3 linked regions of the Saccharomyces cerevisiae S288C genome follow. Changing the gene in region 1 together with any one later gene gives a genetic interaction. Each region holds a gene or a part of one and is shown on either strand. Other genes may lie near its edges.

The links. A genetic interaction does not mean that the proteins touch.
Region 2: mutations in SRY1 (region 1) and YMD8 together harm fitness more than expected from each alone (negative genetic interaction), as found in Saccharomyces cerevisiae (one large-scale study listed by BioGRID).
Region 3: mutations in SRY1 (region 1) and ARR3 together harm fitness less than expected from each alone (positive genetic interaction), as found in Saccharomyces cerevisiae (one large-scale study listed by BioGRID).

Annotation. Positions count from the first base shown.
Region 1 is NC_001143.9:16,078-20,848, forward strand, and holds SRY1 (threo-3-hydroxy-L-aspartate ammonia-lyase SRY1), read right to left. Parts: upstream 2,263-4,771; coding exon 1,282-2,262; downstream 1-1,281. UniProt on the Saccharomyces cerevisiae protein: Catalyzes the deamination of L-threo-3-hydroxyaspartate to oxaloacetate and ammonia. Shows a high specificity towards L-threo-3-hydroxyaspartate as other 3-hydroxyaminoacids, i.e.
Region 2 is NC_001145.3:201,376-206,256, forward strand, and holds YMD8 (Ymd8p), read right to left. Parts: upstream 2,729-4,881; coding exon 1,400-2,728; downstream 1-1,399. Other genes in the region: LFT1 (Lft1p), read right to left, coding at 3,011-4,033; CGI121 (Cgi121p), read left to right, coding at 4,267-4,722, 4,829-4,881.
Region 3 is NC_001148.4:937,470-942,535, forward strand, and holds ARR3 (Arr3p), read left to right. Parts: upstream 1-2,452; coding exon 2,453-3,667; downstream 3,668-5,066. Other genes in the region: ARR1 (Arr1p), read right to left, coding at 679-1,563; ARR2 (Arr2p), read right to left, coding at 1,810-2,202.

The sequences.
Region 1 (4,771 bases):
ATAATATGATAATAAAATAATATATAAATAAAAATGATAAGATTATATTAATTTATTTAATTTTCAAATTATTAAATAAATAATAACCTAATACTTACTTTTCCTAATATTATTAAAAATGGTTATTGTCAAACCCATTAACTGATTATATTATAATATTTCAATATTTAATTCACTTAATTTGTTGTTATAATAATTAATGAAATAGAGAAACTATAATCCAATTGATTGTGCAACAGTTTGATCTTCCAAATCATAAAAGAATATTGAGTGTTAGTTGGTACTGGTCATAACTATCCATTTTGAACATAACCATGTAACTCTTTTCCCGTCTACTGTTAATCAAGGGAACATGTTGAAAGTTATATCAATACATGTGTTGAGTATTTCACGCGAATTTATTGCTACAAAAGAGCACTAAGTAATACATCGTTAATTTCTGCGGTAGAACTGACCTGGTGACCTTGCTTGATGCTTTATTGTTTGTGGGATCTGTCACGTATATCGCCATATTTTTTTCCTACGGATATAATGTAAAACACTAATTTATCCTTCAGGGTTGCTCTTTAAAACTCAATTGTTGAATAACTTGGTATTCATATATGTGGCTGCTGCGAATATCTTGACACATATTATGATTATCAAAAAAAAGTGAAGAACTAAATTTAGGAGGATTTCTACAGTTTTGGTCTTGGTTAGGTAATAATTCCTTAAAATAGAGGCTTATCCTTTCCTGTGGACCATAAATATCTTCATGCAAGATCTCGATTGATTAGTAATAAGAGCAGACGATATTGTGTGTGGAAAAGAGAATTTTTTCTGCGTATAAAATAGGACATTATGACAGTTACCTTTAATTGAAGTAGAGATATGTTTTTTCAACTTAGAAGCTATGTCTTTACTGGGTGTAAGCCTAGGAACGCTCTTCTGTTTTAGTTCAAAATATGCAAAAGAAACTAATATACCAGTAATGCTCATAGTCACAGTCAGAAGTTATATTATTAGTTTGACATAAGCAGTATTCTTCCCTCTCACACACTATCATTCTGCCAAAAAATTTTCCCACATAAGGGTGTCAGTTCAGTGAAATATAATACTAGTAGAAAAATATGTAGAGTTATCAGAGTATAAATCAGCTAGAGGCTTTTTTTGCTGAACTCACTTCAAAATCTCAACCATGTTATTAATGTTAAGTCAAATGATATATGCCGTGTGAAAGTAGACAACTAAAGCTTTCCAATTCTTCACTATAAAACTGAACTCAAAATTCAAAAGTATACACTAAATCGTTGGGCCATCTTCCTTCCCAGAGATTAAAGTAGCATATCTCTTCATGTCTACATTACCTCCACTTAGTATTATGCCTACTTTCTTCCCAACTAGCTCTTCCTTTTTTAGAAGTGCACCTGCAAATCCCAAACAAGCTGTGGGCTCAACAACCACCTTCATGCGTTCCGCAAGAAAGTGCATGCATTTTACTAGCTCTTGGTCGCTAACCGTTAAAATATCATCGACATTTTCGCGAATAATGGCAAATGTGTACTCACCGAGGTGTTGTGTTTGAGCGCCATCTGCGATAGTTTTTGGCGTATTGATATGAACAATGGAACCCGATCTGAAGGATTGTTGTCCATCGTTACCAGCTTCAGGTTCAACCCCAAAAATTTTGCAGCCTGGAGAAAGGCTTCTAGCGGCAAGTGCAGATCCTGAAAGGAGCCCACCACCGCCCAAAGGAACAAATAATGCATCAAGTTGTCCAACCTCTTCTAATAGCTCTTTTGCCGACGTACCTTGCCCTGCAATAACATCAGGATGATCGTAGGGCGGAATCAATGCAAAACCATGTTCGGCTGCTAGTTGACGCCCAATCTGCTCGCGATCTTCAGTATACCTGTTATACCTTATGATATGTGCTCCGTAACCGGCTGTAGCAGCAACTTTAAGGGCGGGCGCATCCTCGGGCATAACAATTGTTGCAGGTACATTTAATAGTTTTGCACTAAGAGCAATAGCCTGTGCATGGTTTCCTGATGAGAAGGCAATTACTCCCTTACTTCTTTTTTCATCACTTAATTTTGAAACAGCATTCATTGCTCCACGAAACTTGAACGCTCCCACTCGTTGGAAATTCTCACCTTTAAAGTATATTTGTGCTCCAAGTCGATCATTAAGCATTCGTGAAGTGAGAACCGGTGTTTTATTTACATATTCTTTAATTCTGTTGCTGGCATCCAAAACGTCTCCATAAGTGGGAACAATCATTTTTCCAACTCAATGAAAACTAAATATCTCGAACTATATTAATTATTTGTACTTTTTAAGTTTTTTTTCAATACTCCTTTATTTGAATTTTTGCAGAATGAAAATGTAACTCTTTATATTCCAAAGCTTATCTTTTTCTCACGTACCGTCCTATAGACCCTGATTTTATGATAAGAGGCTGAATTTACTAATTAGTCATTTTTTTCAGTTTTTTTGTCATAGAAGCCACATTTAAAAGAAGTCAGCCAAGTTACCTGTAAATATTAAAACAACCTGCTTAGAATGACTGTTAATTTACAGAATTTACGATAAAAATATAACTTGGCTCTAGGGCGTGATGATAGTGACAAAAAACTCGTCAAGTAAATGTTGGGAGCTTACTTGCCGTCGTTTTCTAACGCCAAAATACACGAATCATGTTTGGGAAATATAAGTGATTAGAACTTGTCCAAGGATATTGTCAAACAATAACATACTACAATAATCCTAGATCGTGTATTATTTGCGTATGGATAAATATACCTCAAGCTTTATGAGGCATAGAAAATTCATTAGAGTCACTACTTACGTCGCACTCTCGAGGATTGGAATGACGAAATCTTCTTCAGCATTTCACCATTCACCTTTTGAAGCTTCCTATCTCGTTGCTTAAGTAGAATGAAAGCATAGCAGCCCAAAAGAAAAGCCTCCCTCAGCAAGAATATTAACAAAGAACAATTCATGGACCGTTTCTACTACTTAATATCTCTATCACAACTGTCAGTCTCAATCAGTACTTAAATGACGCTGCAGAAAAAGATATCATTATTTTTATCATCCCCCTAATAAAATAAGTAATGAATCAATGCCATTAATTCGGGAACTAGTCATATACCTAAGGAATCAGGCTTTGATAGCTCTTTAATAATAATATTAGGGCATTTTTGATATGGTAAAAGATTAGATTAGGAAACCCCTTTTGTAGAGCATCTCACTACAATATCTGCAAAAACGGTCACCTTGCATAGGCAGAACACGCTACCTTTGAGTTAATTCACAGGGGAGAGCCCTTTTTTTTTCTTAGCAAAAGTGCTTAACAATCTTAATTTCTGGAATGTTTTCGGCGGATTGTTGTATATTGTTTGAATTTGTTCGTTCTAAAAAGTGAGACACCTGCACTTTCCACGCCAAGAACACTAATACCTTTAAACATGCCAGCGTACTTTAAAATGCCACGAGTCGCCCCGTACCAAACATGCTGGCGATTGTAATTTTTCGCCTTTTATTGGAATCGAGAATTCGGGCACTGTCCTTTTCTTCGTCATTTCAATGTTATAATCATTTTTATCGCCAAATTTTCTTCAATAAAAGGTCTCTTTTAAAATATGTTACTATGTTTTTTATTTTTCTATTATTTTTCTATGTGATTTTTCAGACGATTTATTCTTTGTTCGAAGGAGAACAGATGCAACGGTCAAGTTTTTACTATCCACATGAGGAGCCGTAATATTCTAAAGGCAAAAGCATGTGTGCTTGTAAAAAAAAATCAAAAAAAGTTACTGCTCCAAGCCAGCAAGCTTTCTCTTTTGCGAAATCTTTAACACGGTTAAAATCAAAGACAATTACTTCATTGACAAGGTCAATGCTAATATTTACGGTCTCCGCACGAAAGACTCTGAAAAATGTTAAAATTTATAGTGGCTAATGCTAATTCAAGAATAGTCTCGGGTTGTTTGATCACATTATTTTAATTTTTATTGAGCACTGAATAGGACCCGTATGTTCCAATCAGTCTATTTCTTGCAACTTAATCTGGTTTGTTTTTAGGGGAGTGGCATTTTTTTTAGGGTTATTCAAATATTCAATTCTGTAATTTGCTTACGACAAAAAGAAAAGGAGAGATGAAAAAAGGGCGACGGGTATAATCTATTCAGCCGCCAATGTCCCGACGTATGCCAAAATGTGGTGCCGCGGTAACAGTAGCATCACACAGAGCATGAGAAAAGCAAGAAAAGTGGAAGTCTGTATGTCACATTTTTATTGAAAATGCTATTTGCTATAAGGTTCGCTATTCAACTGATTGAACCGAGATAGACAAAATGTTAAACTTTTCATAGAGACGTTATTGTGATAGGGTTTACGCTGAGAATGGTTGAAACATACTTGCTAATAAACCACGTCACGTCAAAATATCAGTTTTTCTTTTTTAGTTATTCCCTTCTCACTTTTGACTTGAGATGAGATCGTTACACTTTTATTGAATACGAACGGATCACGATACATCCACATATACGAATGTTCGGCCAGACAGGGCATCAGAGTATATACCCTTTTTCCTAAAATGGAAGGGCCCTAGATCGTTGGCATCAGCGGTTACCTAACCGAAGTGGATCAAATCAGCGCCTATTTTTCCGTTTAGAACGATTAGATGCCGTCAATATGTATGTGCTTACTGTATCATCCACGTAGTAAAGCTGGGGCGTAGCATCCCTAGGTTACTTTCTCAATACTGGGGTCCCTGACCAAAGAT
Region 2 (4,881 bases), on another chromosome or scaffold:
TGTGGGACACTAGAGATAAACAACTGATATGGCACAAAAACAAACCTACCGAGCCAGATAATAAACTAGTCGCAATAAGTGATGCTTCGTATGGCAACCAACCGTATTATAAATCACAAATTGGCAACATATATTTACTTAATGGAAAGGTAATTGGAGGAAAGTCCACCAAGGCTTCATTAACATGTACTTCAACTACGGAAGCAGAAATACACGCGATAAGTGAATCTGTCCCATTATTAAATAATCTAAGTTACCTGATACAAGAACTTAACAAGAAACCAATTATTAAAGGCTTACTTACTGATAGTAGATCAACGATCAGTATAATTAAGTCTACAAATGAAGAGAAATTTAGAAACAGATTTTTTGGCACAAAGGCAATGAGACTTAGAGATGAAGTATCAGGTAATAATTTATACGTATACTACATCGAGACCAAGAAGAACATTGCTGATGTGATGACAAAACCTCTTCCGATAAAAACATTTAAACTATTAACTAACAAATGGATTCATTAGATCTATTACATTATGGGTGGTATGTTGGAATAGAAATCAACTATCATCTACTAACTAGTATTTACATTACTAGTATATTATCATATACGGTGTTAGAAGATGACGCAAATGATGAGAAATAGTCATCTAAATTAGTGGAAGCTGAAACGCAAGGATTGATAATGTAATAGGATCAATGAATATAAACATATAAAACGGAATGAGGAATAATCGTAATATTAGTATGTAGAAATATAGATTCCATTTTGAGGATTCCTATATCCTCGAGGAGAACTTCTAGTATATTCTGTATACCTAATATTATAGCCTTTATCAACAATGGAATATCAGCAATCATCAGATGAATGTTAAAATTGTGTAAGGATGCTCATTCTGTTTCGTTAACTTTCCAGTTTTCTCGAGGACTTCTGGTTCATTATACGTGAAATTATTTACCTAACCAAAATTATCAAACAATTCTTCCTTACTTCAGCTAAAGATTCGGCGAGACAGAGGTTGAACACAATGCAAGCGCATCGATATTTTTACGGCCGCAGTTGAATGGATCCAAAAGCATTGGCCAATTTAAATGAAAGAAATAAGTAAATTTCTAAAGATTTATCTAAGTGCCTCTTCTTTCCTGTATTCAATAATTTAGTGTCTAAAACGCAAAGGTATAAATTTGATAATGTTCTTTTATTAACTGTCAATAAAGTATATATGAAAAAGTGTGAAGAACCTTCGTATAAAATCTATCTAGTAAAATATTTTTAATTATGTGCGGATGTATTGTCTATTCCCATGTGCTTTGCTTATGTCCTGTTAGAGGACTTTTAAGTATGCTGTATACATGTTTTAAATTTTTGCCTTTATTCTTTCTCTCTCTTACTATATCGCTCTCAGACCTGCTGGGATGAACGACTAACGTTTTGAGCAATCATATCAAGCTCATACTCTTGATTTGTTAGGTCGACACTAATAGAATATGGTGCGATTTTCTTGCTTCCTAACTGTTCGAAGTCTTGAAATCCCTTTAACTCGTTACGATTATCTTGTGTCGAAACTGAATGATATTTTTGTAATAGATCTTGCTTATATCTGAAGTAATTATAATAGCATACATCTGCCATAATAATAAGCATTCCTAACCAATTGTAAAAACCACTTAATCTTTCAGAAAGAATAATTATACCAAATATTACCGTCAAAAGTTCCTTCACTATACCCACAATAGATACGGTCAGCACGGGCGTTTGCTCCAAAATACTAAACTCACAAATTGTCAACAAAAAGACTGCAAAACCAGGTAAAATTAACAAAACAATACCCCTCACAATGGATAGGACGGTAGTTTCCGTGCCGACACCGCCATTGCTCGTATCAAGCCTAAATATGCTAGAGCTGAATATACCAGGAAATGGTTTTTCCACAAGTAGCGAGGTAAGCAACAGAGTAATGCCCATTATAGGAGCTAACTGGTGGATTGTATGAATTGGGTGAGGCTTGGATTCTCCAAAATTCTCCAGCATTTTGTTATTGGCGAGGTTAACAACAGGTTCATTATCGACATTATCTTCATTTTCCGTGAAAAGGGCACCATCAGATTCCTCTACTGCTGCAGCGGTGTTAGTTTGAATTGGGTTGTTCCTAAGCATCAACTGCGTATAAACCCACCTTAACCCAGAAAGACAGCTACTTGCTAGGACAAGAAAGCTGCCAAAAATGACCAAGGCTTGGTCGTTTTTGGTACTGGTGGAATCGCTTGGTTTGAAAACCATTAATGCTACACCAACAAACATAATTATTACTGAAAGTGCCAACTTCCAATGAAACTTTTCTAGCTTGAAGATACAGCCGAATAAAAGGACAAAAGCTATGCTCGAAGATTTGATAATTGTATAAATTGTCAAGGGAACATACTGGAAGGAAACGTTACTGAGCCCGATATCACCTGCAGAAGCGACTGCCGTAGGGAGTAAAAATTTTAGAAAAAAACTCCAGTTAAAACCATTATTCTTTCTTAAAACGTTTTTCACTGGCTTATGCCTGAGCTTAATGTATATGCCGGATAGTAACCATAAAGTAGCCTGATGGAATGTTGTCACCAACACGGGATACCCAATACCCAATCCGTCCTTCGGATCGAACATCCATCTATTGTATATGGAGAGAGCTATTGAACAGAAATACCATCCAAATACAAATGCCAAAAAGACAGTCCTATTCATAGCAAAATGTGACACGAGAATTGAAGGTATAAACACTCGCTGTAACAACTTCAAGTGATCGTGGAAGTGATGAAAATGCAGTTATGAGTATAATCAGGCCAATTGACACTTTAAAAAAACAGAACAACAGCTTCTCGTGATGCCACTATCCCTTATATTTCCAGTTCTAAGCCATCTCCTTCTCATTCTCGACAAAAAAAATGGGTGTGATTATTTTGCGCTTTATTTTTTGGCGTCTCGTCGCCGATGACTCTAATAGATGTTGAAGCCTACAAGCATCTATTATATTTTCTTCTTTGGTTGTAATGGGATGAATGAATCTAGAGTTAATGAAGGAGTGCTGGCAATGCTGGGCTCGCTGGATGGATGATAACTAGATTGTGCAGGTACCTGTTCAAATCCATCACCATCATCATGTTCACTGCATCCAGTGTTAGTAACTGCGGGCTCGTGTACTTTGGGTTCAGCTTGTTGATCACTCATACTCTCTTGCTTTGATTGGATGGTATTTTTATCACTGAAAGTTGTATCATCGTCAGGTGATAGGCCAGATTTTTGGCTTACCTCATCCTGAATTTCATTTTTGGCCTCTATAGGCTTTTCGGATTTCTTTTTTGAACCTGATTTAGAACCAGAATGGCCCCAAAATCCAAAAAAACTCTTCCTTTTCGACTTATTTTTCTTTGTCTTATCACCGTCTGATTTCTTCTTTTCTTTGGGCAATTCCTTAACAACGAATTTCTGTAGCGGGTCCACTTTGAAATCGGAATTAGCCCACGTAGAAGGTTTCTTGCCATCAGCTGTATGTGCCTCATTTCTCTCAAATCTTTCTTCCACCATCCAACTTTTGCTATTGGGCTTTATACACTTATCAATCTCAGCAGAAGCTCTATCAAATAACTGACTGGTAGTAGTAATTTTGGGCTTGTTGCTTCCTCTGCTCGGAGAGCCCTGCTTGAAGGTTGTATTTATAGTTTCTTGATGAGAAGTAGGTGCTACATTATGACTCCAGGAAAATAGAACTGGCCCATCCAGCTGTAAAGCGCCAGAATTCATAGTTATGGTTTTTTCCTCATCAATCCAATCTCTTTGTATTTGCCGACATTTCCCATCAAGTTTGTCGGTACTCAATTTATTCCCCATTTGCATAGGTGAATGAAACAAACAGTTCATCAACCGCCTACCGTTCGCTACTTCATCTAATAACCCATATAACGACACATCTCCATTTTTGGCTTGCTCGGAGTCATCTTGCGGTGTGTATTCCTTACTGAACAACTGGTCGATTATTTTGTTTTCGTCCATAATTTGTCCTTCCCAAAAAATAACCAGCTTAGATTCTGACAATGCTTGTTTCTTTAATTGATGATCTGTAATATTCGTTGATCATTAATACCATTGATTTCAATATTTCATGTTTAATCTTTTGCGCGAAAATTTCAATTGCAAACCAAAATATACATCAACAATCTTTTATCGGTCAACAAATTTGTCGATATAACCAAATATACGTCGTCGCTGCCCATTATACAATCATCATGGTAGTATCCATCATACCGCAATTTCCTGATATCAAGGTTTCACTAGCATTGTTTGAACAGGTTAAAAATGCTAAAGAAATACGCTCTAAAATGAGTGAATTGTCGACATCCTTTGCCTTTATTGACCCCCGGTTAGTCTGTTCGGGGGAGCAGATGTATTCTGCAATTTACAAGACCTTAATAGAAGTGAAATATAACAAGATGAGAACAAGAAATTTGAATTCCGAGTGCGTACTATGTCTTTCACCCACTTCCAATATTAGTGATGCTTTCCTCAAATTCGGAATCAAAGACGATTCGTCACAGTTAATATGCCTTAAGTTCCATACTAATACTGACGATGTAGACAAAGAGCAATTGAGGACGATTATGACTTCTATAGTAAAAGGACAAGAGATCGAGTTTAATGATGACAATTTATCGAGATTTTATGACGAAGCGCTCATAAGAAAAGTATGTTTTAATAATAAATTCGAGGTAAAAACTTCAACAGCCTCACCAGAAACACATTGTACTAACTTCACCTTTGTTTTCCTTTTATTTTGTTTTTACCTATTAGATCTATAAATTAAGTGATGATTTCAAGCCCCAAGACGTAAATGGTCTCTCAAG
Region 3 (5,066 bases), on another chromosome or scaffold:
AAGGAATTATATAAACGTAAACATGAAAAATATTCATCGAATACTCCACATCGATCGTATTACAGTGTTTTAGTAAATGTTTGTATTTGAATCAAAGTTTCAGCATTTGTTCTACACTGATAAAATCATGGTTCTAGTATAGTGAAACATACGCCCAAGTTATCCTAGTACAAGACCGCCATATTGTGCTCATAATCGGGAACAATGAAAATAACACCCTAACAATTGCTGAAACTTGTCGTACGCGATCCCTAATTACATTATCAAGCATTCAGCATTGGTCAATACCTCAATACCTCGACAAGAAAAAAGAAATAGACACGTGTATGTCAAGGCATTAAGAAGGGTATCAGGCCTAGTGCTCGCCTCTTGCCTTCCCAATTTGTTGAACATCTTTGACATATAATTTGATTTTGAAATAGTTATTGGACTTCCATTTTAAATAAAGGCTCTATCATTAACTATACAGAATATACTAGTAACGTGAATACTAGTCGATAGACGATAAATTAATACTTTTTCCAATAAAATCTAAACGCATGCAAGTACATAAATAGGCGAAGGTATCTGACCGTAATAATCTTCACGCCATCTATATAAATAAATGAAAAATTCGGCTTTTAACTTATATATTAACAATAAGAAAGACAATGTTGCGCTGTGCTTACAGGAAGAATATTATAATTTTGACGAAAAGACCTTAATGAAATGCTTGAGGCTAATTAAAATATCAAAATTAGAACACGTAGCACTTTTCTTAAGTTCTGTTCCCAAAATTTCAAGGTCAAATGTGTTAACCTTTGGATGCACTTTCATAAAACTCCAAATATCCATCGCACTTAATAGGACGTCCCCTCCAAAAGCATCCACTGTATAATACTGTCTTGGATGGAAACCCTGCCTAATCACCATGCTCGCTGCCGCTGTTTCTATTGCATTAGTGTTTTCAGTAATGAAATTATTTGGCTCCTTTATTTCAGTCCCACTAAACTCCAAAAAGGTACTATCAAGTTCCCCATTAAAGTCACCAAACGTATGAATCTCACTCATTGCATCATTTAGAAAAGAATAGCCTGGTATGTCATTTGAGAGATTCGTACAGCCTATGGGATAGAAGGACCGATCAAAGGAATTCAACGGTGACGGCACTGTACAATTCTTTCCAACACACACTGAGAGCAGTTGCTTGAAAAATACGTAGCATTGTTGTATTTCAAGGGAATTATATGTGGAGGAAAGAACCACACTACCATCGAGAGTGTTACATGTGGGCGGTTTTTCTTCACAACAGGCCTTACTAATGTTCCGTTCATCAGAAGGCATGTTCCTCTCAGTCAAAAGACTCCTCAACATAAAATGGAGAAGTTCATTTTCCTTCTTTAATATGTGAATTTGATCATTTGTTACCGTTAGCTGAGCTTCTTTCTTCTCTAGTTCTTCTAATCTTTCCAACTTTCGTTTTCTAAATGCGTTTTGGGATGCTCTAAGTTGCGCAGCTCTCTTATTTTTAGGTGGAGTAAGTGAAGGCTTCCTGCCGCCTTTTCTTCCACGCGGTTTTGCCATTATCTTGGTCACTTATCTTCCGTTTTGACATGTTTTTTCAACGGCCGCTCCTTAAAGACCATCCGCATGCTAGAATTATATACTAATATGATTTTGTAAAGATAGGAATATTATAATTATAATTATATTTAATTTAATAAGAAAAGAAACGAAAAAAAAAAAAAAAATGGAATTAAAAAGTTTTGCCGTACATAAAATATTGAAAAGACTTTTACATTAATGCTGGAACAATAAAGCTTGAGGAGCTCAACCACTAACAATCAATTTAAGGTTACTCTCTCTACAATGGGTCTCCCAAGCGTAAAAACCTCCAACGAGGATGCAACTCTCAAACTTACTTGTAATATCTTCTTCTTGTAAGTAGGTTTCGAATTTAGCAGCTACTTTTGGTCCCCTATTCTTGGACCCAGTACAATGAAATATCACTTTGACGAATTGAGAACTTGAGAAAGTATCGGATAAACCTTTAATTAATTGATTCAGTTGCTTCTCTGTAATCTGTGCTGTTACTGGAACATGCCAAGCGTTTGTAATATGATCACGTGCAAAATCTTCTCTTCGAAGATCAACAACTTGAAAATCCTTCCTCTGATTTTCAATTAGGCCCTTGAGTTGCCTAGACGTTATGAAACTTACCATTACGCTTGCTGGATTGTCAAGTTTTCCTCAATATTAGTTTGTTATACATTAGTTTTTATACCGACTTTTCAAAAGTGTTGATTTAAAATCAAATTTTGAATGCTCTTAATTATCTTTTTGTTTGATTAATAATCAACTTTAGCGGCAACGCTCCTTACATAATTATAATGTAAACGGAAAAGAATATAAATGAATGCTCTCGTTGTAATTCAAGAGAACCCAACCAACAAATCATCAGGTTAGTAGAATAATGTCAGAAGATCAAAAAAGTGAAAATTCGGTACCTTCTAAGGTTAATATGGTGAATCGCACCGATATACTGACTACGATCAAGTCATTGTCATGGCTTGACTTGATGTTGCCATTTACTATAATTCTCTCCATAATCATTGCAGTAATAATTTCTGTCTATGTGCCTTCTTCCCGTCACACTTTTGACGCTGAAGGTCATCCCAATCTAATGGGAGTGTCCATTCCTTTGACTGTTGGTATGATTGTAATGATGATTCCCCCGATCTGCAAAGTTTCCTGGGAGTCTATTCACAAGTACTTCTACAGGAGCTATATAAGGAAGCAACTAGCCCTCTCGTTATTTTTGAATTGGGTCATCGGTCCTTTGTTGATGACAGCATTGGCGTGGATGGCGCTATTCGATTATAAGGAATACCGTCAAGGCATTATTATGATCGGAGTAGCTAGATGCATTGCCATGGTGCTAATTTGGAATCAGATTGCTGGAGGAGACAATGATCTCTGCGTCGTGCTTGTTATTACAAACTCGCTTTTACAGATGGTATTATATGCACCATTGCAGATATTTTACTGTTATGTTATTTCTCATGACCACCTGAATACTTCAAATAGGGTATTATTCGAAGAGGTTGCAAAGTCTGTCGGAGTTTTTCTCGGCATACCACTGGGAATTGGCATTATCATACGTTTGGGAAGTCTTACCATAGCTGGTAAAAGTAATTATGAAAAATACATTTTGAGATTTATTTCTCCATGGGCAATGATCGGATTTCATTACACTTTATTTGTTATTTTTATTAGTAGAGGTTATCAATTTATCCACGAAATTGGTTCTGCAATATTGTGCTTTGTCCCATTGGTGCTTTACTTCTTTATTGCATGGTTTTTGACCTTCGCATTAATGAGGTACTTATCAATATCTAGGAGTGATACACAAAGAGAATGTAGCTGTGACCAAGAACTACTTTTAAAGAGGGTCTGGGGAAGAAAGTCTTGTGAAGCTAGCTTTTCTATTACGATGACGCAATGTTTCACTATGGCTTCAAATAATTTTGAACTATCCCTGGCAATTGCTATTTCCTTATATGGTAACAATAGCAAGCAAGCAATAGCTGCAACATTTGGGCCGTTGCTAGAAGTTCCAATTTTATTGATTTTGGCAATAGTCGCGAGGATCCTTAAACCATATTATATATGGAACAATAGAAATTAATTGTTGACTCACCAAAAAATTACTTGGGCACCAATGAATAATACCACTTATAACTCTATATTAATCCAAGTTCACCCTAAAAACAGATAAAATTGACAATTTTTTTTGAAGGACAACTGATTGATCTTAGTGATGGTTAGGATGAAAAAATGGGTTTGTTCACGCCATCCCGCATCATTCAAAAACTCCGCACAGTTTTGGAGTTCAGTAAGAAGGGGACGTAATCTTACTATTGCATTTTTGAAAGTCTAATGAACTCAAGTGGCAAACTGTGTTACGTACATCACTTCTAAATACAATGTCTTTGAATTAGAAACTCGCTGAAAAATTATTATTGCGTATTGTATGTCATTTTTGAGATTTTCCTGCAAGATTAGTAATGCTTTAAACCCAAGTATTGTAAGCCCGATGGAATAGCACATGGTGATGGTACAACAATGGCTTCATAGATCATTCGCATAAAAATGGAATTCGTGCATCTAGTGTCTAATTAAAATTAACGTAACGAAATAGGACAAGATAAGCTTATGTCGTAGTACCCGCATAAGTACGTGTAGCTGCCATTTTATAATGCATGAAGTTGAAGTCATTAGGATGAAGAGGTGACATATAATGTTTCAAAATGGTGCCAGTATAAGTTTGGGATATCATGGAGCGGCATTCGTTTTAGTAAATGACTGTATTGTATAGTACTGTCTGTATGATTATCAGTTGAGTTGGTGAGATGAAGTAAAGATATTATAGCATCTGCGTTAATGTGTATTGCTATTATAGTATAGCATAGTGGTGTTATATAGTGGCACCGGGAATGAGTATAGGGAGTAAGAAGATCTTGTAGTTGCGTTTGAATAGCGACATGAGGACACGTCTTATGTCGCCATTATTAGGCTGAAATTGCAAGCATAAACTATTCGATATCAAAGATACCACAAGACCATGTATGCATAATTATAGAATACCAAGGTGGGGAGAGATTAAAAACGCACCATAGCAGCTGCGCGAGTATATTCTGCTATTAAATTGGAATTCACTGAAAGGTGATGAGAATGCAAATAGCTATGATACCTTATAGTGGTTAATTTGTATGAAAACGTTATAAAGCATGAAGTTGAGAGTATTGATATGATAATGGAGGTTCTGTGATCAATTTTAGAAAATTAAAATGTGGATGATCATGAATGTTATGGGTAAATGGCACAAGTAATAGACAATTTAATGAATAGGGTGTTATGTTTACGATATTTCAATTATGTTAATATTTAGTATGTTTATATCTTCTCATTAATGAATGGTTAATTTTTATGTTTAGGTGATTTTGGTGGTGATTTTGTGGTTATATTGACATAAGTGTGTATAAATTGAGTGGTTAGTATATGGTGCAGTTATACAATATTTGGAA